Linked DNA regions of Stegostoma tigrinum. The protein of the gene in region 2 purifies or fractionates together with the protein of the main gene of each other region. This does not show direct contact. Links are inferred from orthologs where the notes say so. Each region holds a gene or a part of one and is shown on either strand. Other genes may lie near its edges.

Region 1 (6,862 bases), on a different chromosome or scaffold from region 2:
GTAATTCCACTCCCTGTGTCACACTTGGGTAATCTTGGATAAGCATATGGATAATGATGCGAGTGTAGGGGGGAGGGGCTTAGATTAGTTCACAGGTCGGTGCAACACCGAGGGCCGAAGGGCCTGTTCTGCGCTGTATTGTTCTATGTTCTACCTCTCTCTTTCTTTCTCTCTCATTCCCTGCCCCACATGGAGGTGTACATTCAGTTATGTTAGAGCACGTGGGCTCCCTTTCCTCCCCTTCTCTCACACACGTCCCTGTCGGACACTAAGGAACTCTCTGCCTCCTTCCCACATGCATGTGCACGCCCCACGTTGTCCATCAGTCAGTCAATCTCACTGTGTTGTCTCCCTCACATGCATGCACGCTCTATCTGCCTCCCTCACACTCAGGTGCTTTCTGCCATCTCCCTCAGACACATACTTGCCCAAACCCCCTCCAACACCCTCCCTGGTGTTTGCTCACGCAGACAGATGGTGTTGGAATTGGAAATATCATGCCAAAGTACAAAATCCTGCAGCTCTGGTTAAGGTGCCATGTGACAGAGCCATGTCACCTGTAACATGTATCTACTTTATGATGATTATCCCAGCACTAACCTCATCCCTGTCCAATCAAAACCTGTCAAGCGCAAAAGAAATGTTGAATCTGTTACAAATCCTGGATTCGTAGACATGTAAACAGTGAGACTCACCCTCTCTTCCACCTTCTCTTGTATTTCTATTGGCGTTTCTGGGAGTGGGGCACCTCCTGGGTCTAATCTCAGTAAACGCATCGATCGGCGAACTATAGGCTGCTGCCCAGAGCTTTGCAGTTTCTTTCTGAAAGTAAGAGAAAGGACCAAACTTGTAATAAAGCTGCATATGATAGGACAATAAGAATAAAACAAATACACCTAAACAACAGATCGATAATTAGCTTTTCTTGTGAAATTTCTGCTGCTAAGCCATGTGTCAGATTAATTTTAAATTTTCTTGACTGGCTTATAACAATTAATTAGTTTCCCTCCTAGTTTGACATCATCGGAAATGTCATGAATTTCTGAATCTCAACTTATCAATTTGACTTAGAAGATCCAATATGGATTTTTGTGGCAGCTCCTCACTACATAACTTCTGTAAGATGCAATTTTTATCAGCTATCCAACCCCACAATTTATCATGAGACTCTTACAACTATCTTTTTCCCTTTGAAATTTCGGAAGCTCCACTATCAAATTATCCCTATTAATGTTGCTCTCTCAATGTGTGCTGACATTGTAAAGGAATACAATGGAACAGGGCAGCCACGTGGAGTCAAAGTGAAGCTGAATTTGGGGAGGTGATGGCCGTGTGGTACTATTGCTGGACGGTTAAACCAGAGACCCAGATAATATTCTGGGGACCTGGGTTCAAATCCCACCACGACAGATGGTGGAATTTGAATTCAATAAATACCTGGAATTAAGAATCTAATGATGAACAAGAATCCATTATCGATTGTTGGAAAAAATCCATCTGGTTCACTGATGTCCTTCAGAGAAGGAAACTGCCACCCTTATCTGGTCTGGCCTAGATGTGACTCCAGACCCACAGCAATGTGGTTGACTCTTAACTGCCCTCTGGGCAATTTAGAGATGGGCAATAAATGCTGGTCCAGTCAGCTACACCCACATCCCCTGAACAAATAAAGAAAATAAAAGGTAGAAAAACAGCCATGACTTGTGTAAAAGCAGACTAGGCTTGAAGGACTGGATAGCCAACTAACACAAGAGATAATCAGATATGACTCAATTCAAAAATACATAATACTAAACTTCACAGATCCTCTAACTGCATCGCACTAAATCATACCTTTTAGGCGCCTTTGGTCTTTTTACTGGCTGCTTTTTACTGATTTCTCTGAGTTTTTCAGCAGTCTGTAAAATAAGGAGAGCAAATTCCTTTGTGGATCAGCGGAGAACAATTTACTTTGCTGTGCCAAATACTTCAAGACAGACCAGGTGAGAGGAAGGACTTGCTGGACATTCTCTCCATGTGACTGTCCAGACAAGGACAGCCTGGTGTATCCCCAACGCACTGTCTGAGCCTTGACCAGGGTAAAACACAGTAAGTACAATTCTATTGTCTCTTTTTATCCTGACCACTGTGAAAACGTGTGAGCTGAAGTGATGTTCAGATGTGCTCGATCCAAAAAAAATTAGAGTAATCTAGCATAGAGGACACTGGGCCCATCAATGTCCCTATCCTTTCACAAACCTATCAAATTAATTACACTCCCCTTCTATTTTCACACAGCCCTGCTCAGTACGTTCCCTTTAATTGTCTTATTCTGGGACTGAAGGAAGTGAGCAGGGTAAAAGATTGAACAAAATGGTAAGAGGCTCAAAGGCTTAATGATTTGCTCTTGTATCTTACGCAATAACTTCCAACAGTCTCTATTCAATCTGTTTCCATGACCTTTTAGGACAGGGTGGTCTTAATCACAAGAGTTTGCTGCTTAAAAAGAAAGGTTTCCTCATTCTGTCTTGCATTCTTTCATCAAGTACCTTGACGTCTCGGTTTATTGACATCCCTCCCACTGGAAACAGTTTTCCTTCATTTAGTCTACATCAGTCTTTGAGATGTGGTACACCACTATCCAGGACAGCAAACTGTCTGAAGCATTGCTCCAAATCCTAGAAAACCATTGGTCACCCAGGTGTGGTTTTGAGCAGTCATGCTGACTGAACCACTTCCTGAGAGACAATAAATCTTGTGTTTGATTGACTTAAATCATAAGCAGAACCAACTCAGCTCAACAGCCTGGTGATAAACAGCAATAATGAAACAGAGGATAGTGGCAGACGGTAGCTGGTCTTGAGCTGCTGCTGTCCATTAATTTACCTGCAGCATATTCAAAGATGCAAAGAACCGGGCATTTTCCTGAATGTTTTTCAGTCGCTTCTTCTCATACACTGACAGCTCCTCAGATTTTCGATGAAACTAAAACAAAAAACATAACATTGACAGGTACAAACTCCTCATTTGAATAGATTCCTGTGCACTCACTATCTCAACAATCTCGGTCCATCTGTTCAACAGCAACAACTCGGTGCCATTAGAGGGACAGTGGCAAGGAGTTGGAAAGCATGGTCCTCTCAGACAAAAGCAGTTGCTCTAAAGAGAAAGACAAAGATGCACTGCAGAAATACATTTGCACATCAATGAATTAACCTCTCAGTTTTCCCATTTATGGAAGCTGGTCAAACTTGGATCATCAGTTGTACACTTAAACAAGGCAAAGCAATTCACAATACGAAAACCCATAGTGTAATAGGAATAAAACAAAAGTCAGAAAGCTTAAAGACTTAAAAACAGAAATTGCTGGAGAAACTTGGCAGGTCTGGTGGCATATGTGGAGAGAAAGCACAGTTAATATTTCAGATCCAGGTACCCTTCTTCAGAAGTCAGATGCTGCCAGACCTGCCGAGTTTCTCCAGCTATTTGTTTTGGATTTCCAGCATCCCCTATTCTTTCAGTTTAAAGCCTTGTTTGATGTTACTCCAATTACCCCAAATAATGTAAAATCATAGAATCTAATGGCATAGGTGGTTATTTGGGACTTTGTACCTGAACAGACTCTTTGAATTATTAATTAGACTGAAGTAATTAGTTGAGTGATCAACTCTCAGGATATAAATAAGGAAGACTCGGCTCAGGTAGAGAAGCGGTTGTGTCTCTAGCTCTGTGTTAGAAAGTCCATAATAAAGCGCCATCTTCCCCAAACATGTTTCATAATAGGTTCGTACAGATTGCTTTAAAATATCTATAAACTATGGCACACTTTTCATTACAGATGGTTGGTTAATGGCAAACCACAGTGAAGCCCCTCTCCTCCCCACTGCTCTCACATGGACCGTGACCGCACTGCGCACAAACACTAAACATACAGGACCAGCACAGGTGGGAGCCTCCCGCTCGCTATCGGAGACAGAGTCCTGGGAGTCAACAAATCGTGACGACACGCAAAAATTATTGGTAAAATCTTATTAGATATTCGTCCCACTCATCATACTTGGACAATTAATTAATTGTCCAAGTACAAAAGTAACTTGCATTTGTATAAAAGGCCAGATGGACTTGGTTAAAGCTGTAGGTTGCTATTCAGTCTTAAAAAGTGGAGGTGAAAACACATATAGCTACAAGAGAGATGTTAAACTAACAGTTAACAACTTCTAATTTCTTACCGCCATAGGAAACTCATCGTCAGCGCTGAAGCCATCCGAGTCACTCTGCTCTGAGGTGCTCATGCCGGTCTCTGCAGGGCTTGTTGGCCCAGAAGAGGTGCCCTCCTCAGCGGCTGGCATTTGCTGCTGGTCAGGCCCGGCCGGGGTCATCGCCGTGTTTGATCGCCGGGGCGGGGGCTTCTTGTCCGGGTCCTCTCCTCCTCCGGGCCCGGGGAAGGCCGCTTCGAGCCGCCGCTTTCGGTTTCCCGAGGCCGCTGCTCGCGGCTGCTGCCCAAGTGCAGTGTCCTCAACCCTGGGCTTCATGGCCCGGAGGGAAATGCGGTCAATTTTCTGGTTTCAAATGGAAAAAAGTCGGCACCGAGCGGCCACTTCCGGGGGAGCTGTAACTTTTCAGTCCTTACATAAAATGTTACATAAATTGTTACATTTCCCGCGCTCCGCCTCCTGCTGCCGGAGATAGGACACTTTCACATCCGCCATCTTAGAAACCGCAATGCCTCCCGGGATACCTAGCTCACCTGAAAAGCGGCTGGAGAAGATTGAAACGACCAAACTCTGCAATTAACAGTGAAATAAAACAAAGAAGTGCGAATGAAGATCTGAAACAGAAACAAAACTTGTTTGAGAAACTCAGCAGGTGTGGCGGCATCTGTAGAGAGAAAGAGTTCGTGTTTCAAGTCCAGTGAGCCTTGTTTGGATCAGGCACGCACTGCCCCAAAAACCAATGGAAAGCAGGTTGTAAAGAAACTTTTACATAGAAATTACTTGATACGAAATAATTTGCACACTAGTTAAGAGAAAAAGGTAGTGAAACTTATCTGATAGCCCTTTTTAAGAGGCAGAACAAGGGATGATGTGAATCAGCTCCTTCTGTGCTTTTGTTGTTGTAGGATATTCTACATTGGTTGGGACAAATAAATCAATCCTCAACAACCCGTTTGTGTTCAATGTTTAAAATACAGTTGGGTAATGTTAGCTGTCACAAAGATAGCTAAAACTTCTAATTTTCAGAAAAACGTAATGTTATCATCCATTCTATTCAGTCTTGGTATTGAAGTGTAGTCACGAGTTATCTTTATTAAATTCATAAAGGGTTAATTTAGTTGTCTAAATCTGCGGTGCTTTGATTTGAGGATGATACTTACTCAAGGTTGCAGGTTTTTGTCATGAATCTTGGGTGAGACTGAGCAGGCCAATTCCGATGTTTGGGTGCAGAGCAAGATGTGCCACAGTAACAGAAGCACAGTTTCAGGATTTGCTCCCTTTTCTGTCATTCTCTGCCTTCAGTGTGTGTCATTTGGACTCACTTTCCTCTTAACATAAGTTGTAAAACTAGATGTAGGCCATTCAGCCCATTGGGTCCACTCCACAAATCAATGAAAACATGATTGTTCTGATAATCTTTACCTCCACTTTCTTGCCTTCTAGCCATAAATCTAGATGCCCCTAATGATTATAAAGCCGTCTCTCTCAGCCATGATCTATTTAGTGAAACATCTTCTACAGCACTGTGTGATAAAGAATTCCATTGATGCATTATCCTCCAAGAAAAAATCCTCATGTGCTAAATGGGCAATTCCTTACTCTCAAATCATGTGCTGTGTTCATAGAGTCCCTTATTAAGGGGAAACAGCCACTCAGCATCTAGTCTGTCATCTCCTAAGATTCTTGAGTTCCAATGAGGTATCCCCCTCAGTTTTCTACACCTAGTAAGTATAAGCCCAACCTACTTAACCTCTCCTCAAAATCCCTCTACCTGGCATCAAGTCGATTTTCTCCAGACAACCTCCACTGCTAGTATATCTTTCCTCAGATAAAAGACCCAAAACTGTTCACAGTATTCCAGCTATAGTCCAATGAGGTCAGAAATGGGGATGTTTGCTGGTGACCAAACACAAAAATTACACTTCTTTTCCCCTTTGAAATACAAATCACCATTACATTCACATTCCCTCTTCCCATTAGAAACTGGACGCTATCATTTTGAGATTCCCTTCCATGCTGAGCTTCCTCTAGTCTTTCACTTTTTTTTCGAATATTCAGCTCTATTTTTCCTGCCAAAATGCATAACTTCACATTACATTCCACTGTCCTGTTTCTGACCACTAACTAGGTAACCAACAGAAGGGAAAAACATACTTGATCTCATTTACTAATCTGCCAACTGCAGATGCATCTGTCCATGTCAGTATTGCTAAGTGTGACTATTGCGCAGTCCTTGTGGAGACAAAGTCCCACCTTCATATTGAGAACAACTTCCATCGTGTTGTGTGGCACTATCACTGTTCTAAATGGGGCAGACTTTGCACAGATATAGCAACTCAAGGTTGGGCATCCATGAGGCACTGCGGGCCATCAACAGCAGCAGAATTGTACTCCAGCGCAATCTGTAACCTCATGGCCCGGCATATCCCCCACTCAACCATTACCATCAAGCCAGGGGATCAACCCTGGTTCAATGAAGAGTGCAGGGATCAACCTGGTGAAGCTTGCACGCCAAACAGCGAAAGCAGCAAGTGATAGAGCTAAGCGATCCCACAACCAATGGGTCAGATCTAAGCTCTGCAGTCCTGCCACATCCAGTGGTTAATGGTGGTGGACAATTAAACAACTCACTGGAGGATGAGGCTCCACAAATATCCCCATCCTCAATG
Region 2 (6,862 bases):
TTCCTGTGAAAATGTGGTACCATGCTTTCAGGAGCTTCATGGGTCCACAGAGTACAATCTGCAGCTTTGGGCTATCCCCATTGTGCAAGCCAAGTCCCCACCAAAAAACCCTCACGGCTCCCACTAGTTGTCAGGAAGGGCGATTGGAGTCAGAGGCTACAAGCTTCCAGAACCGGGCAGAAGTTTCTCCATGATACAGTGAAGACTGAGAATGTCTATGCTGCACTTGCAGTCATAGGGTCTGCCTGAGACAAGGCTATCGAAACAGGCAAAATGCACACCTTTTCACCTCAAGATAGAGCTTTGCAAATAAATCAGTATGATGATTAGGAATTGATATGTTAAATTATAAATCACTGCTCCCAAAGTGGCTCCAACTAATATAAAGCTCCAGATAAATTACCAACCCCTTGACAATAAAGTAGCCACAGGTATGCCTGCATTTGTTGTTTGCAAACAAACCTTTAGGAAACTCCATAGGGGCATCTTGCCTTTCAGCTTGTGAGACTCTGAGCTTAGACTGGCCAAATGCACCAGGGAGCCCTTACATATTATGTATGATTTTATTCTCACTTGTATTTTACAGTAAGAATACAATAAAATACAGTGAAAAGGTTTCATTTGTTCCTGTGATTTGGTGCCATTTGAATAATTTAAGAATAAGGAAAGAAAAGATATGGCTTAGAGAGAGTCCATTACTCCTGAGCCAACTTATCACCATTAGCGGTGCCAATGCCGCCATCTCTCCTCCACTGCTTCACCGCTGTCTTCATAGGACACAACCAATATCAAAGTCACCGATCCTCAGGCACCATCTTTCGCCACTGGGCTGCTACTCCTCCACCACCATCTCACCACCACCTATGCCAGACCATCCAACACAGTCACATATTTTGCTGCTGGGTTCATTTCAATGTCGCTATGATGCTCTTCCACTACCGCTTTGCCGCCACCAGCCCTGGATCCAAACAACGATGAAGTCACTGATTCTCAGGCACCATCTCACTGACTTCACCTCTGCTGATAGAGCAGTCGCCAATTCCAATGCCAGGTCCTGTGTTTGCCCCCAAAAAGCAAGAAGTCACTCGAGGCCCACATCTGGCTCATTTGAGATTCATGCTCTCATGCTGCCAATGATGTCTGAGCTCTGGACAAAAGGTAAGCAAATGTATATAGGAGAGAGAAAAAAAGAACAAGAAAAGACAAAGAACAAGAAAATCAGTTGGAGCAGATGAGCTCCAGCTCAAGAACCCTATTCTGATGCCACCTTGAATGTAATTGAATTCAATTGTAATTGAATATTGGAACCATTATAACCTCAGTTATGGCAGGGCAGCAGATAGTCTGACTCCCTTTAGTGGTAGTGCAAGGGACAAGTCCCAATCTTTTGGGAAGGGATCTGCAACAGAAAATCTACCTGGATTGGCAACAGATTTTTAAAATGAGTACCAATGATCTATACAAAGTCATTAGGAAGTAACCCGAAATGTTTGAAGAGAGCTTTGTGAAAACTAAAAGGCACCAGAGCCAAGATCTACGTAGACCCAGAGGGCCTACCTGAATACTTCAAGGCATAACCAGTTCCCTTTGCTCTACATACAAAGGTAAAAGTTGAATTAGACTGACGAGGGGAAAGTGACATAATTCACCCAGTCCGATTTGCTGAACGGGCTGTGCCAATAGTCCCAGTGGTAAAAACCCCGCCCCGCCCCGCCCGCCCCCCCATCTGTCCCAGCCTGGGACCAGTCTATGCACGCCAGGAGTAGTGGCTCTATTTGATATTCAACATTAAATGATGTTTCTCTCCAGTTGGGCTTCCTCAGTTGTTACGCAAGGATATTAAAAGTAGCTACAGAGATAGTGGTACACCAGTTGTAATCTTCCAAGAATGCTTTGAACTTGGAAAAGTCCCAAGAGGACTGGAAATATAGCACCTTTATTTACAAAAAGAATATATTAATCTGTCAATTGAAAATATTAGTCCATTGTAAAAGGATGTAATGGTAGCACATTTAGAAATACATAATGATAAAACAGAGTCAACATGGTTTCATGAGAGTGAAGCCATGGCTGACAAATGTATTAGAATTCTTTGAACAGGTAACAAGCAGAATAAATAAAAGGGGAAGCAATTGATATAATAGATTTAGATGTTCAGAATTCCAGAAGTCATTTGATATGTTCGGCTACTTAGTAACAGCCCACGGCATTGGAAATTGAATTTAGCATTGACAGAGGATTTTCTAACTAATAGAGGGGGTTGGGATAAAGAGAGCGTTTTCAGATGGCAATCTGTAACCAGTGGTATGCCACAGGGATCAGCATTGGTGTCACAACTACTGATAATATATATGAATGACTTAGATGAGGAATATTATATACCCAAGATTTCAGATTACATAAAAAACATGTGGGTATGGTTTATGAAGAGGTTTACAGACAGGAATGAAGGGTCAGGCATTAGAATAGATGGATCTTCAATGACATAGTCACGATGGCCAAAGGCCTTCTTGTGGCATAAAATCTCTACCAAACCAAAAAAAAAGGTCCTTCGGCACATTGTGTCTGTGCCGGTCATCAAGCATCTTTCCTTGTTAGTCCCATTCTCCAGCACTTCTGTTCTAACGGCCCACAGCCTTCTGTTCTAATGCTTTGCAAATGTTCATTTATTAGATGTCTTGAAGGTCCTTACTTCTACCACGCCTTTAAAGCAGTGGGTTTCAGCTACCCACCCTCTTCTGTGCTGTAAAAATTGTATACCACTGCCAATTAGTATTATACTGTACAAGTCCAGTAAAAATCTTGCTCCTTGCCAATGTCCTGATGATTACAAGGTGAAAAGTTTTGACAATGTGTATTTTCTTTTTCGGCAACACTGAAGTTCTGATTCCAGCCTTGGATGATTGTGCAAACTCCATACTGACATTCTCCCTATGTTTCCTCCCACAGTCCACAAGTGCACGTTAGGTGGATTGGCTATGCTAAATTGCCCGATAGTGTCTGGGGATGTGCAGGTAAGGTGGATTTGCCATCGGAAATGTGTGCTTATGGGGATACGGTGGGATCAAGTGGAATGCTGTCCAGAGGGTCAGCACAGATGTGACGGGCCAAACGGCCTCTATCTACGTCTTATGATTCTACGACTATGTATCAGAATTTCATGAAACATACCCAAAGAAAACCAAATGGAGTGAACAGAGTGTCAGTGATAATGGGAACTGCAGATGCTGGAGAATCCAAGGTAACAAAGTGTGGGGCTGGATGAACACAGCAGGCCAAGCAGCATCTCAGGAGCACAAAAGCTGACGTTTCGGGCCTGGACCCTTCATCAGATTTGTTCTCTTGAACAGAGTGTAAACTGTGAAACTGATTAACTCAAGGTTTAGTCTGGAAGTGTGTAAAACGCCTAATAAAAAGGTGAGGAGCTGTGTGTGATATTGGATGGACCAGTGTCTACTGCGCGCTCTCACTTACTGAGGTGCTTCAGCACAACCTTCCTCTTTTGGCATCATGGGGTTGCTAGGGGCAACACGAGCGGTGGCTGCGCGTGGCCTACTGGAAGTTGTAGTTTCCGCGCCAGCAGCCACCCGCGGAGGGACCTGGCGAGGGACTAGACTCTCCAGCGTGACTTGGAGCGGTTGCGGCCAACCCCTGCTATCTCCTGATAAAGGTGGGCAGCTTGTAAACCCGAGAACCTTTTCAAATACTGTTCCTTTCCCGCGGCGGGTGAGCTATCCGTGGTCCGGTGCGCCACAGGAATGACGACGGAAAGAAACGACTGACGGACGGGACTACAAATCCCAGGGTGCCAAGATAGACACTCACCCGGCAATGTTGCGCGACGTCGAGGGCTTGGTGGTTTCCTCCTGTTCGTCCGCCACCCATTGATTCGTGTCGCTATCCACCACCTCCATTTCTATCGATCTGTTTGCCGCTTATCGCTCTAGTCAGCCATTGCGGCGGCTGCTGCTGCTAGAGGAGGAGGAACGGCTAACGACGAACTCCCCCGCCTTTTTTTTGTTGTGGCAACGTCATCACGTGTATTTTCCTCCGTACCGGGTTCCCGGATGTCAGAGACGACGCCAGTTACCCGGATTTGGGGGGGGGGGGGGGGGGGGCGGGAAGGTGATGTACGGTACCCGGATGGAGAGGATCACGTGCCCCTTACCCAACACCGGGGACCAATGGCGGCGCAGCCTGGGGAGGCGGGGCCCTGGTTTGAAAGGGTCGGGGCCCGGGAGGCCTCAGAAAATCAATGCCGAGGATCCTGCGGCCTAGTCCAGGATCGACGCGGCAGGCTGCTGGGGGTTAAGAGCTATTCGGAGTGTACGTCTGAGGTAAAACGAACGATTAAGGGTCGGGGTAGGCCGTTGTGCCGTTCGGGTCTGAGCCTGTCCTACTCCCACTGGATGGATAAATGGAAGGCCTTATCGTAAAGACATGTAGGGCAGGACCGCAGATGCCTTACTGTAAGGGACAGGTGTGAAGCAGTGGGTTTTAACAACCGGTAATGATGACCTAATCACTGAGACCAGGCGCTAAGTTCTGGAAAACGGATGTTTGATATGAGCGGCGCGGATACGAATAGCCGCAGGGCCTCTCCGTGTTGTAAAATAAACCCGATAACTAGCTTTCAATTATATTCTTCAAGGAATGTGGACGTCGCGTGCCAGGCCAGAGTTTATTGGCCGCAGGTTAGCTAAGAGTTGACTACATGTAGGTCAGACTAAGTAAGGATGGCAGATTTCCTTCTCTGAAAAACAGATGGGCTGTTTCCTGACTGACTTTTAACAATGGTTAATTCCAGATTCCACCATCTACCTTGGCAGGTCACCGGAACATTACCTGGCTCAATGCTATTAGGCCATTGGTTCCCCTTAATTTCGGACTGTTTGTTTGAGCATGTCAAAAAGATTGTTTTGACATGAATTTACGTTTGTAGTAACTACTGTGGTGGAATTTGAACCAATTTTCCCCCAAACAAATCATCTAGGGCATTTGAGGTTCTGGTCCATTGACATGACCACTAGGTTACCATTTACCATGAAGTTTCTTTATAGAAACATAGAAGATAGGATCAGGAGGAGGCCATTAGGCACTTTGAGGCTGTTCTGCCATTCTTCACGATCATGGCTGATTATCTAAGTCATTAGCCTAATCCTGCTTTCTCCCCATAACTTTTGATCCCATTTGCCCCAAGTGTTATATCTGATTGCCCCTTGAATACTTTCTGTGGTAATGAATTCCATAGGCTCACCACTTTGAGTGAAGAAATGTCTCCTCATCTCTGTCCTAAATTGACTACCCTGAAACCCCTCACTGTGACCCCTGGTTCTGGACACACCCACCATTGAGAAACATCTTCCCTGCATCTATCATGTCCAGAGATAATGGGAACTGCAGATGCTGGAGAATTCCAGGATAATAAAACGTGACGCTGGATGAACACAGCAGGCCCAGCAGCATCTCAGGAGCACAAAAGCTGACGTTTCGCGCCTAGACACTTCATCAGAGAGGGGGATGGGGTGAGGGTTCTGGAATAAATAGGGAGAGAGGGGGAGGTGGACCGAAGATGGAGAGAAAAGAAGATAGGTGGAGAGGAGAGTATAGGTTGGGAGGTAGGGAGGGGATAGGTCAGTCCAGGGAAGACGGACAGGTCAAGGAGGTGGGATGAGGTTAGTAGGTAGGAAATGGAGGTGCGGCTTGGGGTGGGAGGAAGGGATGGGTGAGAGGAAGAACAGGTTAGGGGGCAGAGACAGGTTGGACTGGTTTTGGGATGCAGTGGGTGGAGGGGAAGAGCTGGGCTGGTTGTGTGGTGCAGTGGGGGGAGGGGATGAACTGGGCTGGTTTAGGGATGCGGTGGGGGGAGGGGAGATTTTGAAACTGGTGAAGTCCACATTGATACCATTAGGCTGCAGGGTTCCCAGGCGGAATATGAGTTGCTGTTCCTGCAACCTTCGGGTGGCATCATTGTGGCACTGCAGGAGGCCCATGATGGACATGTCATCTAAAGAATGGGAGGGGAAGTGGAAATGGTTTGCGATTGGGAGGTGCAGTTGTTTGTTGCGAACTGAGCGGAGGTGTTCTGCAAAGCGGTCCCCAAGCCTCCGCTTGGTTTCCCCAATGTAGAGGAAGCCACACTGGGTACAGTGGATGCAGTATACCACATTGGCAGATGTGCAGGTGAACCTCTGCTTAATGTGGAATGTCATCTTGGGGCCTGAGATAGGGGTGAGGGAGGAGGTGTGGGGGCACGTGTAGCATTTCCTGCGGTTGCAGGGGAAGGTGCTGGGTGTGGTGGGGTTGGAGGGCAGTGTGGAGCCAACAAGGGAGTCACGGAGAGAGTGGTCTCTCCGGAAAGCAGACAAGGGTGGGGATGGAAAAATGTCTTGGGTGGTGGGGTCGGATTGTAGATGGCGGAAGTGTGGTAGGATGATGCGTTGTATCCGGAGGTTGGTGGGGTGGTGTGTGAGAACGAGGGGGATCCTCTTTTGGCGGTTGTGGCGGGGGCGGGAGCGGGGTGTGAGGGATGTGTTGCGGGAAATACGGGAGACGCGGTCAAGGGCTTTCTCGATCACTGTGGGGGGAAAGTTGCGGTCCTTGAAGGACTTCACCAGTTTCAAAATCTCCCCTTCCCCCACCGCATCCCTAAACCAGCCCAGTTCGTCCCCTCCCCCCACTGTACCACACAACCAGCCCAACTCTTCCCCTCCACCCACTGCATCCCAAAACCAGTCCAACCTGTCTCTGCTTCCCTAACCTGTTCTTCCTCTCACCCATCCCTTCCTCCCACCCCAAGCCGCACCCCCATCTCCTACCTACTAATCTCATCCCACCTCCTTGACCTGTCCGTCTTCCCTGG

What was found. The genes of interacting proteins can lie anywhere in the genome.
Region 1: the proteins of numa1 (region 2) and wdr76 purify together in Homo sapiens (affinity purification with mass spectrometry; 3 studies listed by BioGRID and IntAct, with this or other methods). This does not show direct contact. The link is inferred for Stegostoma tigrinum from reciprocal best matches to the Homo sapiens genes NUMA1 and WDR76.

What each region holds. Positions count from the first base shown.
Region 1 is NC_081386.1:34,101,380-34,108,241, forward strand, and holds the start of wdr76 (WD repeat-containing protein 76), read right to left. Parts: upstream 4,718-6,862; 5' UTR 4,512-4,717; coding exon 4,209-4,511; intron 2,965-4,208; coding exon 2,866-2,964; intron 1,899-2,865; coding exon 1,834-1,898; intron 823-1,833; coding exon 696-822; intron 1-695. UniProt on the Homo sapiens protein: Specifically binds 5-hydroxymethylcytosine (5hmC), suggesting that it acts as a specific reader of 5hmC.
Region 2 is NC_081359.1:110,955,580-110,962,441, forward strand, and holds the start of numa1 (nuclear mitotic apparatus protein 1), read left to right. Parts: upstream 1-3,650; 5' UTR 3,651-3,670; intron 3,671-3,825; coding exon of another isoform or gene 3,826-3,914; exon of another isoform or gene 3,915-4,079; intron 4,080-4,144; exon of another isoform or gene 4,145-4,337; intron 4,338-6,862. Other genes in the region: lrrc51 (leucine rich repeat containing 51), read right to left, coding at 3,826-3,914. UniProt on the Homo sapiens protein: Microtubule (MT)-binding protein that plays a role in the formation and maintenance of the spindle poles and the alignement and the segregation of chromosomes during mitotic cell division.